Tribolium castaneum: one gene and its partners. The protein of the gene in region 2 interacts with the protein of the main gene of each other region in a pairwise test. Links are inferred from orthologs where the notes say so. Each region holds a gene or a part of one and is shown on either strand. Other genes may lie near its edges.

The links.
Region 1: the proteins of lwr (region 2) and dac interact in a two-hybrid assay, tested with the Homo sapiens proteins (2 studies listed by BioGRID and IntAct). The link is inferred for Tribolium castaneum from reciprocal best matches to the Homo sapiens genes UBE2I and DACH1.
Region 3: the proteins of lwr (region 2) and Med interact in binary tests that used the Homo sapiens proteins (3 or more experiments, as listed by UniProt). The link is inferred for Tribolium castaneum from reciprocal best matches to the Homo sapiens genes UBE2I and SMAD4.
Region 4: the proteins of lwr (region 2) and Rrp45 interact in a two-hybrid assay, tested with the Homo sapiens proteins (2 studies listed by BioGRID and IntAct). The link is inferred for Tribolium castaneum from reciprocal best matches to the Homo sapiens genes UBE2I and EXOSC9.

The regions. Positions count from the first base shown.
Region 1 is NC_087402.1:1,975,483-1,979,998, reverse strand, and holds the end of dac (dachshund homolog 1), read left to right. Parts: intron 1-1,850; coding exon 1,851-1,984; 3' UTR 1,985-2,832; downstream 2,833-4,516. UniProt on the Homo sapiens protein: Transcription factor that is involved in regulation of organogenesis. Seems to be a regulator of SIX1, SIX6 and probably SIX5.
Region 2 is NC_087399.1:9,252,191-9,258,269, forward strand, and holds the start of lwr (SUMO-conjugating enzyme UBC9-B), read right to left. Parts: upstream 4,668-6,079; 5' UTR 4,520-4,667; intron 4,468-4,519; 5' UTR 4,461-4,467; coding exon 4,395-4,460; intron 4,346-4,394; coding exon 4,262-4,345; intron 4,210-4,261; coding exon 3,947-4,209; intron 1-3,946. Other genes in the region: transmembrane inner ear expressed protein, read right to left, coding at 4,806-4,891. UniProt on the Homo sapiens protein: Accepts the ubiquitin-like proteins SUMO1, SUMO2, SUMO3, SUMO4 and SUMO1P1/SUMO5 from the UBLE1A-UBLE1B E1 complex and catalyzes their covalent attachment to other proteins with the help of an E3 ligase such as RANBP2, CBX4 and ZNF451.
Region 3 is NC_087403.1:6,334,900-6,341,066, reverse strand, and holds the end of Med (mothers against decapentaplegic homolog 4), read left to right. Parts: intron 1-45; exon of another isoform or gene 46-117; coding exon of another isoform or gene 118-136; coding exon 137-390; intron 391-453; coding exon 454-814; intron 815-933; coding exon 934-1,056; intron 1,057-2,903; coding exon 2,904-3,553; intron 3,554-3,598; coding exon 3,599-3,737; intron 3,738-3,984; coding exon 3,985-4,196; 3' UTR 4,197-5,328; downstream 5,329-6,167. UniProt on the Homo sapiens protein: In muscle physiology, plays a central role in the balance between atrophy and hypertrophy. When recruited by MSTN, promotes atrophy response via phosphorylated SMAD2/4.
Region 4 is NC_087402.1:3,055,173-3,060,643, reverse strand, and holds Rrp45 (uncharacterized protein Rrp45), read left to right. Parts: upstream 1-1,908; 5' UTR 1,909-2,055; coding exon 2,056-2,130; intron 2,131-2,178; coding exon 2,179-2,273; intron 2,274-2,315; coding exon 2,316-2,759; intron 2,760-2,974; coding exon 2,975-3,196; intron 3,197-3,239; coding exon 3,240-3,499; intron 3,500-3,544; coding exon 3,545-3,618; 3' UTR 3,619-3,688; downstream 3,689-5,471. Other genes in the region: Usp12-46 (ubiquitin carboxyl-terminal hydrolase 46), read left to right, coding at 173-316, 373-480; RpL21 (large ribosomal subunit protein eL21), read right to left, coding at 1,154-1,633; histone deacetylase complex subunit SAP30 homolog, read right to left, coding at 3,691-3,819, 3,867-4,082, 4,131-4,301. UniProt on the Homo sapiens protein: Non-catalytic component of the RNA exosome complex which has 3'->5' exoribonuclease activity and participates in a multitude of cellular RNA processing and degradation events.

The DNA of each region.
Region 1 (4,516 bases), on a different chromosome or scaffold from region 2:
TTTTGATTTAAATATAGATAGGGTACCTGCATTTCTAATATTGTTTGGTAACTTATTATATTCATTAATACCCTTAAAAAATAAAGATAACATTGTTTGTCGGTAATTTACACTTTGAACATTAATTTTGGAAGAATCCCTAGTCTGGTAATTGTGTACACTATTTCTGCAAATAAGATATTCACTGAAATACTCTGGTACTCCAAGCTTAATTATTTTATATACAAAAATCATGGTAGAATAATACAGTCGTTGCGTCGCAGAAAACCACATTAGGGCCGATAACATACATTTTATAGGTGTTAAGCGGTTACATCTTAAAATTATACGCATTCCTCTATTCTGAAGCTTTTGCAGTTGTACAACATGACTAGGCCGTAGCAGGTACATAAGTGTGGCACAATAATCAAAATGTGGTTGGACAATACAATTGTAAATTAAAATTCTTGTTTGCATTGACACATGCGTAGATATTCTTAAGAAAAAAAACAATTTCGTCCTAATTTTTTTACAAACATAATCGAGATGACTCTCAAAATCGAGCAAGCTATCTAGGTAAAATCCTAAATACTTACATTTATTAACAAACTCTACAGTTATGTTATATATGCTTAAATTAATGTTGGCAAAATCAATTTGGTTGTATTTATATTTAGTTGTAAAAATTATAGTTTTAGTTTTGGACACGTTTACTTTAAGTTTATTTGTGTTAAAATATTTTTCAAGTATTTCGAGAGCCTTGTTCATTTTTTGAATACATTTATCAAGATCAGTGTCATAGCATGCTACCAATGTGTCATCGGCAAACAAATTAACAAAATCACAATCACAATAGTTTACAATGTCATTAAGATAAATTAAAAATAAGAGACTAGACTCTTAGGAAGCTAAAAAGGTTGTACAGAAGAAAGCTAAAAAACTGTAGAGACAGTGAAACAACGAAAAACAAAAAAAAAGAAATGAATATAAAATATGGGAAACACTAAGAAACTATGAGATTGAAAGACTGGAAACACTCATAAACAAATGAGAAGTTTGTAAAAAAATTAAATGTAGCACACAATTTTTTGTTTTTGCTTCTCAGAGATCATCAAATTGTCTAAATAAAAACATAAATCATAAATATGAAATTCCCAAGTTAATAACTAAAAACATAAAGATTTTTGACCTAAATTGGTACATTTGTGAGTTTTGTGAGAAAATTTTGCGAAACAATTGAGTTTTTGCTCATAAACGTACGAAATGTTTGAGTTTGAAGACGAACTAATTGCGAGAAATAATCTTTATCAAAAACAAATCGATCCACAATTTATCCACGATTTCTGAACTCAAGTGTAATAGAAATATTGTAATTTTCATAGAAAACAGCGAAATTCTAGTTGCTTTGGCCGACATTTAGGAAATAATCAAACAACAGTTTTTTGCTGAGTTTTAATCGCCTTATGATTGGCCCGCTTTACAATTGGGAGTGCAATCTCCCTCCCATATCCAATGACAAACGCTTCAATCGTCTTGAAATTTTTTGTGCACCTGATAAACAAGTAGGAGGTGATTTTAATATTTTGATTGGTCAAATTACACATTTCAGGAACAAATAAAACACAACAGATTCAAGGGCTGGTCTTTCTTACAGAACGTGATTTTCGCCGAAGATTCAAATAAAATTATCGATTCTAGTGCTTGTTTATTTGAAAAAATTAATAATTACAGTTTTTCGAAACCAAAATATAGAATAAAGGCTCCTGAAAAATAGACTTTAGACAATCCCACGAACTAATTGGTCTAAATCAATGTTTAAAGTTTTAAAAATGTAAAACTTTGTGTTTGAGTAAACCGTTTTCTTTTTGCAGAATCCTTAGCACAAGAACTCGAATTGGAGAGAAAATCCCGGCAGCAACAAGTTGAGAGAGACGTGAAGTCACCGCTTCAAGATCGTTCCGGGTATTACAAAAATTCCATGCTGTTCACAAGCACGGCTACATAAACATAACGTACGAGTTTTGCTTAGATAAAAGTATAAAGTAGGTTTTAGATCAGAGCGTACAGTGCTTAGCAATGTTTCGATTGGTATTATGCATTCGTTTTAAACGAGATATTAAGTTTTTTCCTTAAAATACGTCCAGTGTCGTGGAGCATATCAGTTAGTGATTGTTTGATTTTTAAGACTGATTTTGGGCATGGAGAGGAACGATAACAATTTCAGTACTTAACTTTTCTTATTGCTCAGAATTCGCACTTCGTGTACATAAACACACCTGTATATAATTTCTATTTTGTAATCCAACCCAATTACTTTACTATGACTGTTTGGAATTATTCTAATTAAATATCTCCGCTTTACATGTACATATGAGCGTCAGTATAAACCTGTAGAAAAGTCATTTTTCATGTAACAACGCAGAATAGAAGATTGTATATTAAAATTTTTATAAAGTTAAAGTTTTGCATATCCATGTGAACTTTCTACGATATGATATGAACATAAAATTCATTTGTACATTATTTCGTAATCTGAAATGTTTTACACAGTGTAGGATTTTCTGACGAAAAGTATACGCCATTTTGACAATCATTGTCAGAAATTTTTCAAATATCAATATTGTCGTTTGTTTACACTCAGTATTATTCAGATTAGGTGCAATACTGAACCACAAATTGTACGAACGGTAGTGTTCTTAATATAGCACAGTTTTTTTCTTACTTGCTTGTATCATAAGTAGGCTAGTTTATAAACTGTTCGTGTTAGACTATGTAAGAGGCAGTGTGTATGTATTTATTGTAAATAAATGTATGTGTGTGCCTTGTAGAAAATAAAACATAAAAATTTCGAAACCATTTTCTTCACATTTCTTCCCCTAGAATTTATGTGAGTTTTTAATAATAGCTGATTTGATCAAAGGCAAAGATCAAAGATCTGCGGCGTGCCACTACTTATTTATTTTATGATGGCATAACCCTTGTTCTCTGCCTTTTAAATGCAAAATTTTGCAATTAAAATCACAAAGCATCAATATGCAAATCACTGCTTGCCAACATCCGTAACAACATCTAAGCGAACTGATCAAATCGTCGGCTAATTATTAGCAATTCTGCAAAAAGAACTTCCTGACTGCTTTACACTTTCCTTTAATGACAGCTAAAACGTCTAATAGCTGTACGAATACCAAACATCTATCTTCACACTGTCTGTCTAATTACGCATCGTAATTCAATTTCCCCGATCTAAAAATTAAAAAAAATACGCGAGCTTAAGTAGTTAAGTGACGTAGGTAACTCATTAATTAATTCACTTCCCCAATTAATTTAATTGCCACAATCATCAATCTCATCAATCAAATAACGTCGTTATTGTGATCAATAAAAATCCGAAGGTTGCGCCCTTATACAGGACAATTAACAGAAACCTAATATAAGAGGTGTGAGGTGTCCCTGAGCCAGAATTAATGAACACCGACAAACAGATCGCAATGTCCAGCCCATGATTCCAATGAATCCTGATAATATATACAAGAATTAGCATATTGAAGTCACAGAGGCGTAATCAGTGCAAGCAGTCAAGCGAGAGATTGTCTCTCCCTACAACAGCAGCCGCTGGAGCTGCTATTACTACTTGTTTTCTTAAATTTACTGTTGATTGCTTCGTATTCGATTAATTTAACGCAATCTGACGGATTGTTTGTTGAAAATCAAAGCGAAGGACTCGCGCCAAATTGACGATTTTTAAGAACTGGTCTGCGTTTAATCGATGATATTTTGCTTGCTCACTCTGTAGCGTCTTTATCTTATCTGTAAATAGATCTAGATCTGGCCGGAATTAATGAAATGAGCCATAAAAGGCGTCTGCAACTCGGCGATATGTCAGAATAGTGTGAGTAAATAGGGCCTGTATCCCTTTAGGGTTATTTATGTGTTGTAATGAAATAGTAGCGCTTGTGCCCTTATGGTTGGTGGCAATTAACACTCGTGGAATAATTTAGTGTTCCGTGGTCGGTGTAATTACGCCGTAAATAATTTTTGATCTTGGAGGAAAGTGTGATCTCGTCATCGAATGCAGCCGCGTTTTAATCAGTCGATGGTTAATGAATCTGATTTTCGCGGAAAATAAACAAACCGGTGCGAGCGAAAGCGTGTTTTGATGGTGTTTTCGACACTTCCAAGTGAATTTTAATTCGATTAGATTCTCTGTATTAAATTTACATTTTTTGATTAAAGAAAATTAAAATTTGCTAGATCTGTTTGATAGAAGCGCCGGGGATATAAAGTTAAATTTGTTTTTATTAACGTGCTTTATTATCTTTGGTGCAGTATTTTAGAAACGCGGAGATAAATATAAAAGCTTCATCAATTCTCAGTGAATTGTATCAAAACATATTCCGAGCTTGAAGAATAAATCACGAGTAGAATCCATTACGAGCTTGAATTAACGTCATCTTGAAAAGAATTAAACGAATGGAATTAATTATAAGATTGATGGATTTCTCAAATATCTACCGACCATCCTGCGGTGTTTCCAAGA
Region 2 (6,079 bases):
AATTTATGTCTCTGTGCTCTGATTCGCTGATTGACGGAAGTGGGAGATGCGTAGTTGCATTTCCGCATGTCCCTTCATGCATTTCACCATCACTATTTTACTTGCTGATGGTGAAGAAGGTAGTTTTTGTGCCAGTGCAATTGTTTTTCTTTGTTATTCAAGAAATTACAATTTTCAGTTTTCAATTCGAAAAAAATGGATCCAGAGGCAGCGGCTTGTGAGTATGCGTATGCGAATCATTGTACAACTTGTTCTTTAAAAGTTGATACATTTTTTAACATCATGGCGGACCAACAACGCCTTTTGAATTTTTTCATTCGTCATCATGTTTTTCCTTGCCACATTCAGTGCCCCAAGTGCAACTCACGTTTGGAAATGCACGATTTCGTTTTCAGGTGCCAAAAATTCAACAAAAAAAACAAACGGAAATGCAATTTTTTTTCTTCGGTTTTCAAGGACACCTTTTTCGAACATTCCCATTTAACTTTACCACAAGTAGCAAAATTGGTGCACTTGTATTTGTTTCAAAACAATCCAAGGTGTCGTTTCATTTCAAATGAAATGGAAATTAGTTCTCGAACACTGGTTGACTGGTTTTCTTTTATTAGGGAAGTTTTCATTTTCTGGTCTGTTCAACATTCTGAGGTTCTTGGTGGTGAAGGCAAAACTGTTGAGATTGACGAAACCAAAATTGGCAAGCGGAAATACAACAGGGGCCGATACCTGGAGGGCCAATGGGTGTTTGGCGGAATTGAGCGTGAAACGAAACGCTCTTTCTTTGTGGCAATTCCAGATCGCACATCAGAAACTCTCCTTTCCATCATCAAGGAAAGAATTCTCCCTGGGACGACAATTATGAGTGATTGTTGGAGAGCTTATGATTGTCTGTCTCAAGAACATTATCACCACCTCACAGTCAACCATTCCCTCAATTTCGTTGACCCAAACACCGGTGCACACACTCAAAACATCGAAAGATGTTGGGTGGAAGTGCGAAGAAAAATGCCGCGGGCAGGCCGTAGCAAAGATCATTACGAAGGCTACTTGGCCGAAGCACTTTTCCTGTGGACCTACTCAGATCATCGAGAGCGTCTACATCATTTCTGGACCGCGGCATCACAGCTTTACCCCGGAATTCCCCATTGTTAATTTTTTCATTTTTTTTTACCACATTTTGCACTTGGGGCTAGCCATTTGTACCGATTATTTTCAGCTTTTGAGGCTGTATTTCATTCTGGTATTTTGCATATCTTTCATTATACTTTTTTGGTACTAACATACCTACCAATAATAACACACCTAGACCTTTCCCTCCCGGTGAGAGCGTTGCCGCCTCTTCGTGGTCTCACTAGACATACATTTCATGGGGTCGTGAAGAAATTCATAGTGCACATTTAATAAAGATTCAATAAAAACCATTATTCCACGTTTCGAGTTCTACATTTTCGAGTTCAATCGTTCGTGGGGTATGTTTATTTTTAGTTCGCTGGGGCGAAGCCCCAGCCTACGGGTTATCATCTGTAGGCGCCGTGCTTGATTTGTAGTTGCATTTACGGTTAATATCATTTATTAGCGAGTGTTAACAAAATTTGAGTGTAACATTTTTTTAACTATCAGGTGTATAATTCGACCCCATGTTATGTATGACCAAATGGCAACACAATTAAAATTCTCTCAAGGTCATATTTTCAATCGGCACAATTTTAAAGGAAAAATTTTAAAAAAATTTTTAGGTCAAGGTCATTCAAGGTCGAATTTTTCAAAAACGGGGCATTTGCACAAACTTTCAAGGTCATATCTTTGATCTAGAGGCTTTTTAAAGCAAAATGCAAAAAAAAAATTTTCAAAAATCCAGAAGTAGCTAAAGTAAAAATTTACCAACAATTTTTTTAAATTCATTGCTCTGAAAACCTGATGCTAATCAAAGCCAGTAGATATACTAAAGTAGCGACACGGACCTTGACAGGGCAACAATAACGATTATACACTCTACAGATGGCTCCACCATCAAAATTCAAAAACGTACGTCAAAAATGTCAAGATTTTTTCACGTTTGAAAAATTGGTGAATCAGAACAATGAATTCGGTGATCGTCTTTAATTTCACCCTGGTTATTACAGTTTATGTGTACAGATACCATGAAACCTTCAAACTTGTGCTTCACTCACGTAAAAGTAAATCAGATCGTCCCTAAATTCAACTGAACATTGCAATGAGAAAGGCTTTTAGAATGCGCAGAATACAGCAACTCTTATGGACATTTCGAAGAAGGTGCTGGCGCTTCAACAGTGAATTCATTCCTTAAAAGAATTTGAACTTTGTATTTAACGAAAAAGCCAAAAACACGTTTCAAAATAATAGTTGTTTGATTTAAAAAAATTGTGATACTTACATTTCTAATTTTAATAAACTCCTCTCTAAGTGTTTTTACAGTTTATCGTATGTAATTACTCCAAGATTTTAAATTGGTCGATTTATTTTTTTTTAATTAAATTTAATTTTTTCCCTCAACACTATTAACAACTGCTATGAAACCAAGACATTTTTCGCAATAAGAATAGAAAATGTTTTCAATATTACCCGAGAGGTAAACCGCAGAGGAAATCAGTGTACAAAATTGAGTAAATCAAGAAATTTTAAGGAAATCACTTTAAAAATTTAGGGAAAAATCAGAAGGAATCATGATTAAATTACAGGTGTACAAAATTTGGGGTACGGTTTACACCTCGATATTACCTAAGAAATAGAAATAATACAACCTGAATTTCTCTTTATTATTTAAATGTTGCATACCATAGTTGCTGTAAATAAGTGGCTATAAAAAGTCCACCAAACTTCGATGCGCTACAATTCCCAGATTTAGATGCATTAAATTTTGTGAAACGAAGGTCAGTGTAAGCAGAGCGGTCTTAAATTCTTTCCCATTAGGACAGAATCTAATAATTTAGAAGAATTTTCAAGGAAGTATTGTTTAAATCTACCTGAAATACTTATTGAAAATTTGGTATCTTAGAAATTTCTCTTTCAAGTTGGTACCTAACACTTTATGTTTCTGAAACAATTTTTGTTTGAATGAGTTTCCAGTATTCTCACACAGACGTGCTTCGTAATGTGGACGACTTTGAACAGTCTGGAGGCCCTTTTGTTTAATGTTTTTGGTGTCGATTTATTATTTACGTGATTTAAGCACAGGTTTGAAAGTTCCATGAAATCTGTTCATAACCAATAACCACAGTAAAACTACAGATGAACGCCAGAATCACTGTGCTCTTTACCAATTTTTCAAAAGTGAGAGAATCTTGACAGTTTTGACGTATGTTCAAAATTACTGACAATTTGGCGAACCTTTAAAATTACAGCGTTATTACAAAAAATGTCGAGCCTTGGAAAACTAAACTGCCTGTTTAAATACATTCTCGATTTAAATCTATCATCTAATGTGACCTTTAACGAATATCTCTTTAGAGCATCCCCTTTAGCAATTTCATTTAGTGAAGATTAAACGTAGAAACAGAGACAAAACGCACTTACTAAGGCTTTTCAAGGCTACGCATTTTATGTAAATAATGCGGTATATGTCGAATTTCGATAGTTGCGCCCTCTCTAGAGTATATAATCGTTATTGTTGCCCTGTCAAGGTCCGTGTCGCTACTTTAGTATATCTACTGGCTTTGATGCTAATGGATCAACTGCGCCCTCTGGTGACATTAACGGAACTATCGAGGACAATAACGCTTTATTTGTACTAATTTGTATTTCGTATCCTAACCTTTAGATGTCCGTAGTGTAACCTTGTCCATTTATTGTCTTAGTGCCTTTTCTTTACGAAACTAAGTTTTCATTTTCATGGATTACTAGATACGAAATTTCCTTGATCACGTGATCACAATATCCACAGCACTCTTGACTACGTCAAATGTAAACACCCCGTAAAAAAACCACTTACCAGTAGATTGTGTAGGCCTCTGCTTGTGCTGGATCTTTAACATTGGGTTCATTCAACAAGTCCTGAATTCCGAGTAAAATCTGCTTAATAGTAATCGCCGGTCTCCAATCTTTCTCCTCGTCTAACAACGACAAACACACCGTACCTGACGGATACACATTTGGATGGAACAACGGTGGTTCAAATTTACATTTTGGGGGAATGCTTGGGTACTCATCTTTGAACAACATGCGTAATTTGTAATTTCCACCCTCCCATGGCGTCTACACAACAATGCGATAACCCAACAATTACTAAACAATGCAACAAACTTACCCCTTTTTTACCAGGAATTGAGCACTCCCAGTTCATTAGATTTAGAGAGCCATCTGGGTTTTTCGACGGTCGGGCCACAAATCCCTGCGGAGAAATGGATTACATGAGGGCAATTTTGTAAGGAATTACTCACAAAAGGATGTTCTTTGCGCCAAGCTTTGCGTTCTTCGGCGAGACGAGCGGGAGCAATTCCAGACATCCTAGAACTAAAAATCAGGCTCTACCTCAAAATTATCGCACGAAATGACCAAAACGTACTCTAAAAGTGGGCACTGGGGTATTTAATGGGGCCTTATTCAAACTCTAAAGGAAAATTTAACGGGCTTCGGTGCTTTCTTGACAGTTGACAGACAAAAACTGGGAAAACAGGTAGGGGAATTCGCGCAGACGCGACTTGTGTTGGCCACCCTGTCGCCGATTATTTGTTCCAGAACAATTTATTTATTCAAACTTTTCGTGTATGATTTTAAACAAATTTAACGAATACAAAAACCCGGATTTGTGTAATAATTATTTGGCGGCAAAAACATTGGCGCGAATTTGATTAGTTCGACGTCACTTGCTGCAAATCAACTTTTGCCTGGATCTTGGCATTTTCTTGGTCAAAATCCTCCTGAATGAGTTTCAAGGCTGCAAAAAATTAATAATTAGGTTCAATAAACCGTAAAATACAAGGTGGCTCAAAATTGACGATTTCGGAGTTCAGAACACTAAAGAGAAATTAATTCAGTAGTTCAAATACAGAAAAAAATAAAGATTCGGGGCTTTCCCATAAAGATACATTGGTTTGAGGGTGCACTTTAAATTGCGTTTTCTTCAAATACAGGCTAAAGGTTTCAGTGCTTATTGTTATTTATGGTAAACTACAGGCTGTTCCGTCTAAACCTTACTTTAGAAGTATTGAAAGCTCTAATAAAGAAATTTTTTAAAAGTTGGTAGTCAATCATAATCCGTTAAGTTCTGCCAATGAAAATATTTTCAAGATGGCAGCATTTCCGGTTATACCGGAAGTCGCTGTTAACTTTCTTATTTTAAATGAAAAGCTATGTTTTTCACTGCGTTTTTGGATTAGTTGAGTTATTTTAAGAGTTTTCCCTATACCTAAAATTTACCGTTTTTAGGATATTTAAGATTTTTTGAAAATTTTTGGATTTGCACCTGTCACTTAAAAAATTGGTAACTCGGTTAGTTTAGCGATTTGGAAATCATATTAGGAGAATTAAAAAAGAAGGCCTTTATCTGTTCTTTGGTGTGTTTAAAATTGAAAATGAAGTTAATAAACCCAAAAATTTTAAGGTTAAGTTTGGACAATTTCAGGTACCTATAACTTAATTATTTGTTATTCTTTTTTAGAAATTTGAAAACGCCAAAGGAAAGTTCTAGGCTTCCTCTTTTAAATAAGCTGAAAAAGATTTAAAATCTTTTAAAAGTGGTAGAGTTATCAGTTTTTGAACTGGAAGGTGCAAATCCAAAAAAAAATTAAAAACATTTTGTAATATTTTGTAAACGAATAAATTTAGGTTTAGTGAGAGCTTATGAAAAGAACCTTAAAATAACTCTAGTAATTCAAAAACGCATTAAAAAATATAGCTTTCCGTTTAAAATGAGGAACATGATAGTGACTTCTGATATAACCGGAAGTGCTACCATTTTGAAAATATTTTTATTAAGCAGGACCTAAAAGGTTATGGTTGTACACAAATTTTCAGATAACTATCATTAGAACTCCCAATACTTCTAATGTAGGGTTTAGACGGAACAACCTGTGTAATAGTTTATTTACACTTACATTATTTTTCACATTGAATCGAATTATCC
Region 3 (6,167 bases), on a different chromosome or scaffold from region 2:
TTTTGTTATTGTTTATTTACAAAATCGGTAACAGCACGCTTTCAGCAATCACTGTCTTATCACTTGCATCGTTTCGTCCACTTCCCGAGATGCGAGACTGTTGACAATTTTGTATTTATGGTGGTCATTTTTGTAGTTGGAGATATGTCAGGGTTAGCCACAACAGCACCCTCATCGGCTGACGCTTGCCTGAGCATTGTGCACAGTCTCATGTGCCACAGACAAGGGGGAGAAAGCGAAGGCTTCGCCAAACGTGCTATAGAGTCCCTGGTGAAAAAGCTAAAAGAGAAAAGGGATGAACTAGACTCGCTTATCACTGCTATAACCACCAGTGGGGCACATCCGAGCAAGTGCGTCACGATCCAGAGGACTCTCGACGGCCGCCTGCAGGTACACACAAGCTTTCCTTGCAATTCTCTCAAGCGTTGTTGCTACAGTTTCTGTGTTGTTTAGGTTGCCGGACGCAAGGGCTTTCCGCACGTTATCTACGCTCGAATCTGGCGATGGCCCGACCTCCACAAAAACGAACTCAAACACGTGAAATATTGTCAGTTTGCGTTTGATTTAAAATGTGACTCAGTATGTGTGAATCCGTACCATTACGAACGGGTAGTGTCCCCCGGCATTGACCTCTCTGGACTTACGTTGCAATCTGGAACCGCTCGATTAGTGAAAGATGAGTACACCGCTGGACCGGTCCCTGGAGGCAGTATGGACGTAGACAGCGAAATCGGCATTGAAGTCTCCCAGACCATCCAACACCAGCCCCCACAGCAGAATTTCGCCCTGAGCGGACTTCAGGCACCTTCCACAAGTAAGCTGCGTGTTCTCACTCACTAGTCTATTGTATTCTCTGATTCGAAGACTTTTTATTTTAAGAACCCACTTTTCGTATTTTTAGTTATGCATGTTATGTTTTCGTTGTTGTGGTAGGTGAACAGGGAATGTATAATTCACCAAACAGACCAGTTATGGGACATCCCGTACCTAAAATTGAAGGGGGAGTTGACGCATGTTCCAGATCTAGTTGGTTACCGCACATGCATATACCTCATCGTAAGATTCTTTTTGTTTTATTTTGCATTTTCTCAAAGCACTGTTGTGTTACTCGTATTGTAGGTTTAGTCTAGTTCGTACAAAAAAACGCCCGTCTCAGTGTTACTACTATTGCATCGTTTTAAATATTTTTCTTACACCTTAACTTCAAATTTCCACTTAGTAAATGCTTTTCCGGTGACTTCATTTTATCGATTGTACTCAATGTTAGTGTTCAGTTAATTGCTACGTGAAGATAAAGTAGTGAGTTCTTCCAACAAACACACAAGATTTGGTGTTTATACCGGGTGTTCCAGCAACTTGGTAAAGATGATTTAAAATTACCGAATAATTGTTTTGTTTTCAAAATGCCAACACTAAATTATTTCAAAATGTACCTTCAGTTTAACTTTATAAGTTAAGTAGAAACGAAAATCGTGAACAAAATAAATAATTTGATCCCTCATTATATTATGAATTATTAAATTATAAAATACAGCAAGCGTTCTTTTATTAAAAACGATAGAAGTGTACATAATTTATTATTTGTCGACGTTTTTAAATCCCGAACGACTGTTAATATTCTAAACTCAAAAAAACTTTTAAAGGTAATAGATCACCTGGAATTATTATCAGTTAGCGGGGTGTTCGACAATTTTCGAAACATTATCTCACTTGGGCTAGATTACAAATTTAAATATAAAAAATATTTGATTTCATTTTTGACGTTTAGTTTTTATTATTGGTGATGTTGAGCTAAACTTTTATTGATCGATTTTTCTTAGTTCTGTTACAAAAACGGAGTTTTCCAAAAAAATACTACAAAAATAATATTTTCACTTGGAGTAAACTAGCGAGTTGGTTTTTAGTACTTATTATTCTTTTCTGAGAACAACCAGTAATGTACTCTGGGCAGGGTCCACACTCAGTCTGTAGCTGTACCTGTGTTCACACTTCGGTTACAAAGGTCGTAAATTGTAAAAGATCGCGTGGCTAATATTTTAATCTCTTAAATTTGTGAAAGTTTTCTTTGAAAGAAGTCAATAATCTTATTGTTCCCTGAACTGTGCCTGATAGGTACTTAGAAATTAGAAACCAGGATTCAGGTATAAGGAAGTTCCATTTTATCAGTGTCTGGAAACAACAGAATACAATGTAGGTCTAATTTCATAGCTTAAGATGTTTCGTTACAACAGTCAGAAAATTTACAAATTGATACCAAATATACAGTACACATCAAAAGTCTGGAATAAAATTAAAATTTTTTTGGAGGACCATTTTGTAACCTATTATTTTATAAATATAAAAATTGTATAAAATAAATAAACTGTTTCATAATACATTATTTTGTCTGATTACTGTTGATATTTCTCTAAAATTTTTATACACGGTAGTGAAGTTACATTAAAAACTGAAAAAAAAAACAATTGCTGCATCGATACTTCTATTTATATGGAGTTGATGAAATCAAACAAATTTATTTTCTGATAAAACTAAAATTTTGAAAACAATTATTTTTCGGATTTAAGAGATTTATTAGATATGTACGCACATTCACAATCACTTACGGGGAAAAAAAATATAGATTGATTTTATGTAATATTTTGTTTCTTAACAAATATTTATTTTGGTGACAATGCTTTCATTTTCGTGACAGCTTATAATTATTTACTACAAGACACAAAAATTAGAATTAAATGAACAGGAAAGTTTCGGCGACGCTTTGAACGAAAAAAAAAAATTCTTTAAAGGTAGTAATAATATTTATTGTGTGAGTGAGTTTGAAGTAGTATTTTTTAGAGACGCGTGTTTTATTTAAATTTTGTGCAAATTACTGTTATTCATCTTCTAATTGTAACCGATATTAGGTGGGAGTAACCCTCCCGTGTCGCCCCATTTGCAACAAAACGGGTTCAACAACTCCACCCATACGACAACTGCTGTTGTTAACAACAACGGTGGTACCATAAGCGGCAGCCAACCCGCGGCTACGGCTACCATGGGCCAATCGTTCACTGGGGCTGGTGGTACTTGGACAGGATCTAATACGTTAACCTACACCCAATCAATGCAGCCCCCTGATAACCGCACCCATCACACAGCTTACTGGAACACAAACCAATGCAACGACGTAAACATCGCTGGTCTGTTGTCCACCCAGCCAGCCCCCGAGTACTGGTGTTCCGTCGCCTACTTCGAGCTGGACACTCAAGTGGGTGAAACGTTCAAAGTACCCTCAAGCTGCCCGAATGTGACAATTGACGGCTACGTCGACCCCTCTGGAGGCAACCGGTTTTGCCTTGGTGCGTTGAGTAATGTGCACAGGACGGACCAAAGCGAGAGAGCGAGACTGCACATTGGCAAGGGGGTTCAGTTAGATTTAAGGGGCGAAGGCGACGTTTGGTTGCGCTGCTTAAGTGACCATTCCGTTTTCGTCCAGAGTTATTATCTGGATAGGGAGGCTGGACGACAACCCGGCGATGCCGTACACAAAATTTACCCGTCAGCCTACATAAAGGTATTGTTTCACGTCGGAAAATCGGGGTTTTAATTGCCGTTGCAGGTCTTTGATCTAAGGCAGTGTCACAACCAGATGACAACTCAGGCAGCCACAGCACAGGCAGCGGCGGCGGCACAGGCGGCGGCGGTGGCGGGGCACATCCCTGGACCGCACTCAGTCGGCGGGATAGCGCCAGCCATAAGTAATTATTTATTTCATTTTTTTACAATACTTATTTTTATGTAAAATTTTCTACTGAACTCACATTCATTGGTCTTTTGTTGTCTGCCTGTCTGTTTCATATTTTCCGGGACAAATTTGAAACGGTTTCTGTTGTCCAAATGAATTGAAATTTTGCATACTTACGTAATCTGCATGACAATGCAATCGAATGTAGTTAATCACCCCCTGAGAGGGTTAAAGAGGTTAAAAGGGATGTTATCTTTTAGGTTTGTCGGCAGCCACGGGAATAGGGGTTGACGATTTGCGAAGACTGTGCATCCTGCGCCTCAGTTTTGTGAAAGGTTGGGGCCCGGATTATCCTCGACAGTCCATTAAAGAAACGCCTTGTTGGGTTGAAATCCACCTGCACCGCGCTCTGCAACTGCTGGACGAAGTGCTTCATACTATGCCGATTGATGGACCCCGTGGGATAGAGTAATTGTGTGAATATTTTGATCCCCTTTTGGTAGTTCGGTGGGCAAACAACGATTGTTGTCAATTCCGAATTTTATGTTTGGCACGATTTGACGGCGGCAAGTTTGACAAAATATTTTGTAAGTGAGTAGTTTATAAGTTTGTAAATTACGCTTATATAATACTTAATTTAATAAGTTTGTAGTGATAATCACTTATTTTCTACATGAATATATATTTTGTAAATATATTGCAAACAATTGCCTTACAGTCGGACAGAACTTTTCATATATTTTCATAAAATTACCTTTTTTCAATTGGTTTGTGCCATTTTATTTTGTAGAAGATGGATGCCAAATTTGAAGTAGTAATCGCACACGAAATGATAAGGGTAAATATGTACATTAGGCTGTGAAAAACTGAGTAGTGTGTAAGTTTTTTTCGTTTTTGTTGCTTGATATTAGTGTGGTACTGAATGTCTTATTTAAGGAACCTCTTTTTGTATTTTTCTTGTCACAAGTACCTAACAAACTGCAATTTTTTCATTTGCTGTGTAAATGTAGATAGGTATAATATAGATATTGTCTGACACAATGTATGCTACTTTTTTGAGAATTACGCCATTATGACATGTAATTGACATTTTATTTGCATAATATTGTATTTAAAACTTGTGGAGTAAATGCTTCATCATTCCACAAAAGATCTCACATAACAAGAAACAACATGCTGTTACCAAAATTTTTACTACATTCGTGATTAAGTTTTTTACAGTTCAAGTAGGTAGTAACGATGTGCTGAGATCACAGAAATCATGCGTTTGATTGCTTATTTTTGTTTATTTATAAGCAGTTCACTTGACATTTAAAATAGCACAGGATCCAATCATTTATTTATGGTTTTATGTAAATACCTAAAATGTAAAAATAATTCTTGTAAATATACAAAATTATTATAAGTGTTTATGAAAACATGTATTGAGTATTATAAATTTTTAACCTTTCACTATATTTTATTTGGAAATTGTTGATATATACATATTTTAATACATTTTTTTGACTGCATAATGAAATGTACATTTATGTTTAAGTGTTGTATTTACAAGAACGTATAAATTACAAGTCAAATAATTTTAAAATAATAAAATATTACATATAGAGCTATTTTTATTTTACCCTTTAACAATTGCCTATTACTCTCCTTGGCCGACCTAAAGTGTTCGCCATCAAATTGTCAGTCGCGGCATCAATAAAAAAATTAATAAATAATAAATAATAATTTGACAAAATTGTGTTTTTTGTTGAACTTAACAAAACGCCTATAGAAAAGAATAATATTTTGGTGACCCAATTTACTTATATATGGTTTGGCACCACGTAACACAATCTCGCAAAAGATTGAGTTTTCAAATTGTGGCTGAGGTCCGACAATCTTTTAATGTAATGTTGGTTGACTCAAAAATTTTTTCAGGCTCATTATTACTCTTGGACGAGCCTGTATAGTTTGTAATGTTGATTTATTTAAAAAGTTTGTGTTAAAATATCTGCAAAAGACGGTCAGTCCCTGGGGCCTGGTGGCCTAGTGGTATAAGCGCTACTTTCGACGGGGGAGGTCGGGTGTTCGAACCCGGATCAGGTGTAAAAAATTTTCTATGAAAAAAAGTATAGAAAAGGTAAGTAAACAACATGTAAACAAAAATAAGAGATTGAGAGAACACATAGACGTATAAACGAAAAGCGGTGCATAAAACTGACAGAAATAAGAAAATAATGCGGCAAAAGGTAAAAGTACGTAAAAACGCCAAATTGTAAACGTATGGGCACATGCAAATAAAGAGAAAATACCTTTTGTTTTGAGAGAAAAAAAGATGAACGTAAAGGTGAAACTTAACTTTAAACTTTAGCGTTGAATCCTTAGATGACTTACTTCTTACATTATAAAAAAATTAACGAAAATATTTAATTTATCTCTAAAAATTTTTAGTTAACTGAATTTG
Region 4 (5,471 bases), on a different chromosome or scaffold from region 2:
TTGAGCTTTTGCACTCTTAATAGACTAAAATTTTCATAAGAAACATGAGAGAAAAATTATTCAAAATTTGCGCTTCGTTCCGTGTTTTTCAAAACACTGCGAATACGGTTAAAGATAAATGTCCGAGATTTTAATAATTTGAGTTTGAGCTACAGTTTAATTGTGTTTTCAGTCGGACGATGCAGTTAATCCCGACCGATTATACGATTTAGTAGCTGTTGTGATACATTGCGGAAGCGGACCTAACAGAGGCCACTACATCAGTATAGTCAAGAGCCACGGTTTCTGGCTGCTGTTTGACGACGACCAAGTTGACGTAAGTTTAGTGCGTATTTGAGAATTCCCGATGGTTATTATTGTGCTTTTGAATAGAAAATAGACGCTTCAACAATAGAAGATTTCTACGGCCTCACGTCTGATACTCAAAAGTCTTCAGAAACAGGCTACATCCTTTTTTACCAGTCTCGAGAGAGTTTATGAACTCTGCTGCTCCTTGCCTTAATCATTGAGAGGATTTAATACAAGTACAAAGTCACCTCTCATTGCATTGGGACGGGTAATGTTTATGAAAAAAGTCTGTAAATATGATTTGAAACTGAAAATTGTTGGATTTATATTTTATTTATTGCATATTGTAGTTTCCGGCCGTACTTTTTTCCTAAAATTTTTCTTTCAAAGCGATTTACCCGTACTTTTCGAAACGAATCGACGTTGATTTTGTTGTTCTGTTGCAATAAATAGCGATATGTTGAAAACAAGATTTACTTTATTGTGGTGGAACAGCATAGGAATAATTGACTGTATGGTGAATTTTACTTGTTTACTTAATTTGTTTTTTACAAACCTTATATTTATTCCAATTAGCAATAATTCTTAGGTGGTAACCAAACCGTGCATCTAATTTAGCGAGTATTATGTCCCCTACACGGTAAAAAAGTAAAATTCACTCTTCTTATTTTGTTAACAAATACTATACAACTTTTAAATATTATATGAGAAACTAGAACATACTGTATAAATGCTGCTAAGCAGATTTTATTTTTATTCTGTAAATATTCGTTAGATATAAATATATTTGAAAAAATGCACTGACTCGTTTCATTTCAAACACCCAAATTTGTTTTATGTCTTTATTACACAAAAGGCGTACAAATTAAGCAATAAATTCATATGGGATAGGAGCCAATTGAACGGCTGGTACTTTCCCACTGACGATGTGTGCAGGCCTTGGCTGTGCTGGCTGTCTCTTCAAATTCACTCGAATGTTCTTCTCCTTAGCTTCTTTTCGCAATTTTTCGTTTTGTTTCACTCTGGTCAAGAAGTCTTGCCTGCACTTGGAGTGATTCACGTGCTCAATACGGATATTGATACGTTTGGGGATAATACGGCCCCCAACACGCTTGTTAACAATCACACCCAAAGCGTGAGCCGTCACATTGAACACACGGCCAGTTTTCCCATGGTACACCTTGTAGGGCATGCCCTTCTGAACGGCTCCATTGCCCTTAATATCCACGATATCGCCGACTTTGTACACTTTCATGTACGTCGACAGGGGGATAACCCCATGCTTGCGGAACTTCCGAGAGAACAGGTCCCGGGTTCCCCTACGATAACCTTTCGAGTTCGTCATTTTTCAGACCTGCAAAAAGGGCACAAGTTATTATAAGACCAATATCTCAACACTGTAACGTTTATTTGTAGTTCAATTTTATCAAAATTATGAAATAAACATGATTTTTGTGCTTAACCTACCTGCCTTACAGAACACGTTTTAAAGAGGAAGAAAATGGCGGACGCAATTTCCGCTTGAGTCTTTTTCTAGCGACCTCTATCCTATTTTATAAATCGTAAATTATTTATTAAATTTGGTTTGTATTATCAAATTGATAATATAACAGGCATTTTGTGGTAAACACCGGTCCATTTGTTGTGCAAAAATGTGTAAAAAGCCACCAAGTGTATTGTTTAAAATATAGATTCCTGTATTGCCGATGTATTTTTTCTAACCACACTTCTTTGTTACAAAAAATATTTTGAAATTTGAAAATAAAAATGTCGAAAGTACGGGAAACACTTATTACAAACTGTGAACGAAAGTTTTTGATGAAATGCTTGTCGGAGTGGAGGGTAAAAGCGGCACATTTAATTTACAATTTAATTCCATCTTCCATTTAGAGGTTAGATGGTCGAAGTTTTGACGAGTTCAGGCCACTAGAGCTGAAATTTGGCAAACAGTGGGGTTCCTGTTACGTTTCTCTCGGCAACACAAAGTAACCTTCACTTATGAAACACTGACTTCAGTAAAGGAATAGAGTTTTAGCTCAAACATCATGCGAAATCCAACAACCCAAGTCTTCACGACCTAGTGAAGGAATTCTAAACATAAATATCGAGTTGAACCCACTGGCAGCCCCTCATTTCGAAGCGGGCAGACAGTCGGAATTGTCAGTGCAGTTGAACCGACTTTTGGAAAAATGTGTTAAAGATTCTAAAGCTGTTGATTTGGAATCATTGTGCATTAAAACCAACGAAAAAGTATGGGCTTTGAAGGTGGATATTAATGTTTTAAACCATGAGGGGAATATTCTGGACTGCGCCTCGATCGCCATGTTGGCTTCTTTGACTCATTTTAGGCGCCCCGATGTCACTTGTGATGGCGAAGAATTCATCATTCACAGTTACCAACAAAGGGACCCCATTCCTACGGTTATACACCACTATCCAGTCTGCATAACATACGCTATTTTTAATGGAGGGTAAAACACCTTTTGAAAATTTAATTGAAAGCTTGTATTATCATGTTATCCACAAAAAATACTTTAGCTGCACGAATTATCACTTAGAATTTTCAATTTGCGGACTTGCTTGTAGGAAATTTAATTCTCTACAACATTTTTTTGCGTGTATTCGCAGCGTTTATCCGTAAAAAATGAGCATTTTATTAAAAGGACTTGCAGTTTTTTTCTCTTAGGGAGTATATTCTTGCGGACCCGTCACTACTTGAGGAAGGTTCCGCAGATGCAATGCTAACAATAGGCCTCAACGGCTTTAAAGAACTGTGTGCCCTACATTTAGGGGGAAAAGCTGAACTTGCACCAAGTATTATCCTGAGTACAGTTTCTAAAGCCACATCTCGAGCTACTGTTGTGATAGAAGAAATAAAAAAATCAGTTAAGGCCGATACTGAACAAAGGTAAAACCAACAACATGTTGCCGAGTTATAAATTAAATTTCAGGCAAGAGAAGGCTTCGGTAGGCTTTCATACTGAAGATAATTTCAAAACAACTCTAGTCTTTGGCCAGAGCCTTGATACATGGCATACGAATAAAAAGAAAAGAAATAAAAAACATAAAAAAGCACAGCCACAATCCCAGAATACGGTCGTTATTGACAAAGGGTCAGTGGAACATGTGCCTCAGACCGAAAACAAGAAAGAAGTCTGGGACGTTGATAATAACAGTGACGATGACTTAATAATAGTCGAAAAACCTAAAGGTATTACTTAACTTAATTGAAACTAAAATCATGTTTTTTTTTCAGTTCAAATCGAACTCCTAACAGACAGTGAGGAAGACGATGTGGTGATACTAGGGCCTGTCAAAAATAAAAAATAACTTGTGGTTTTTTATTAAATGCATTTTTTTCTTAAAGTGTAATAATTTAATAAAACTTCTAAGGACCTAACTTCAAGTGGCGTCATTGTTCACACCGTTCTTTTGGTCAAGCTTATTGCTGTTTGTTTTGACTGTATAAATAAAAAATGTGACAACTTCCTTCTCCTTGACTTGGATCGACTTAAAGTGTTTCATTAGAGTCTGTGAATGTAATAATTAATACAAAACGTGGATTTTAACCGACTCACATCTGCCAGTTGTGCCTTGTTCAGTCCAGGTCTTGCGGAAACTTTGTAGTGCCTTTTGTACCTCCTCAAAGTGTTGACTCCTAGCTGAAACAGGTCGACTTCTGGCACGTCAGTGTCCGTCTCATTGCTGTCATCCTCCGAATCCTTCCTCCTCCTCTTGGTCCTTGCACACTGGATGATCATCTTGTGAAAGTCGCAGATGTAAATATGCTTCGCCTGGCAAAACAACAATAATTTTCCGATTGAACTTTGCGTTCGACTTACTGAATTATCAATACACAAATTTAACCTCCTTTGCGTCACTGTCTTCTGGATGCGCTTGCTGTATGAAGCATTACCGGCGATTTTGTTACAACGTTCACTATTGTCTATCAAACAGCAGATTTGATCAGTGGGTCCTCTTGAATCTTCCTCGCCCGTACTAAATCCGTTCATTATTCGAAGTGGGTACGTATTTATATAATTTGGGTGCTGATGCCAGTTGGGACGACTGTTCTGCACATCTCTTACACGATACTCGACGTTTTAACCGCACCGACACAATAAATAAAAAGCCAAATTAAACCGAAATGATCATATGGTTACACAAAACCACTATTTGACTGGAGTTGGGGCCTCGAGGGGGCTGAGAGGGGGTTTTAAGGCGTTTTGTTTGTTTGGGAAAAAGCGACATCTGCATTAGGTAATCATCACTTATACAACGTTTGGCTTAGCCAGGCAACGTACAGTCACCGGCGTAAAATTGGTTGCCGACCATAAAGCGTAATTTTTTAAACTCGTTTTTTATTATTCCTAAAATACGTCCGTGTGTCCCTATTCAGTTCCAAATGCACTTAAAAATTTTGGAAAAAAATGTGGGTATGTGAGAAAATTAAGAATAAAAACGATAGGACAAAATAATTATATAAGATAAGTGTTTTGAAGTACGAATTATCGTATACGGTTTCTACTCGTTGCAACAATCCGATGCAAAAGTAATTCGGAAACAGATAAAAAATTAGGAGAATTCAAAATATGCATGAAAGAATTTAGTTTAGTGGATCTTATGAGGTCTGTTCATCTCGTCCAGCTGCTTTATCTAGCGTAGTTCATTTCCTGCTTCCGCGATTCGCTCTTTTCCAGTTCAGTTATTCACTTAAAAAAGGAGGCAAGGAAACTGTTGGGAGAAATTACGATAATCAGCTTATCTTTAATCGTTGAGAATGTTAAATATTTTTTTTCATGTTTTTTTTACATTTTAAAAGTCTTACTAAACTAAACAAAAAATTATTATTATTGTTATTATTATTTTATAATTTTTTTAATAGCAACCTACTCGGTATTACAGTTTTTTCGTATTTATTTTGGGTTTTCCAAGATGCTTTAGCGTGTCTACACATTTAGAGGAATCCATATACAACCCCTTATCAAAACGAATTTCCTTGTCGCAATGATATAAGTCTTCTGATAATTTCTATCGCTATTGTTACAGATCAATGGGAAAGTGAATTATGTTCACTATCTGCAGATGCAGGTGAGTGCCCTTTCATAATAAGATTTATCGCTTGGAATAAACACAAAGGACGTCCTTTTACAATAATCAATAACCCAAATGTTGCTTACGAC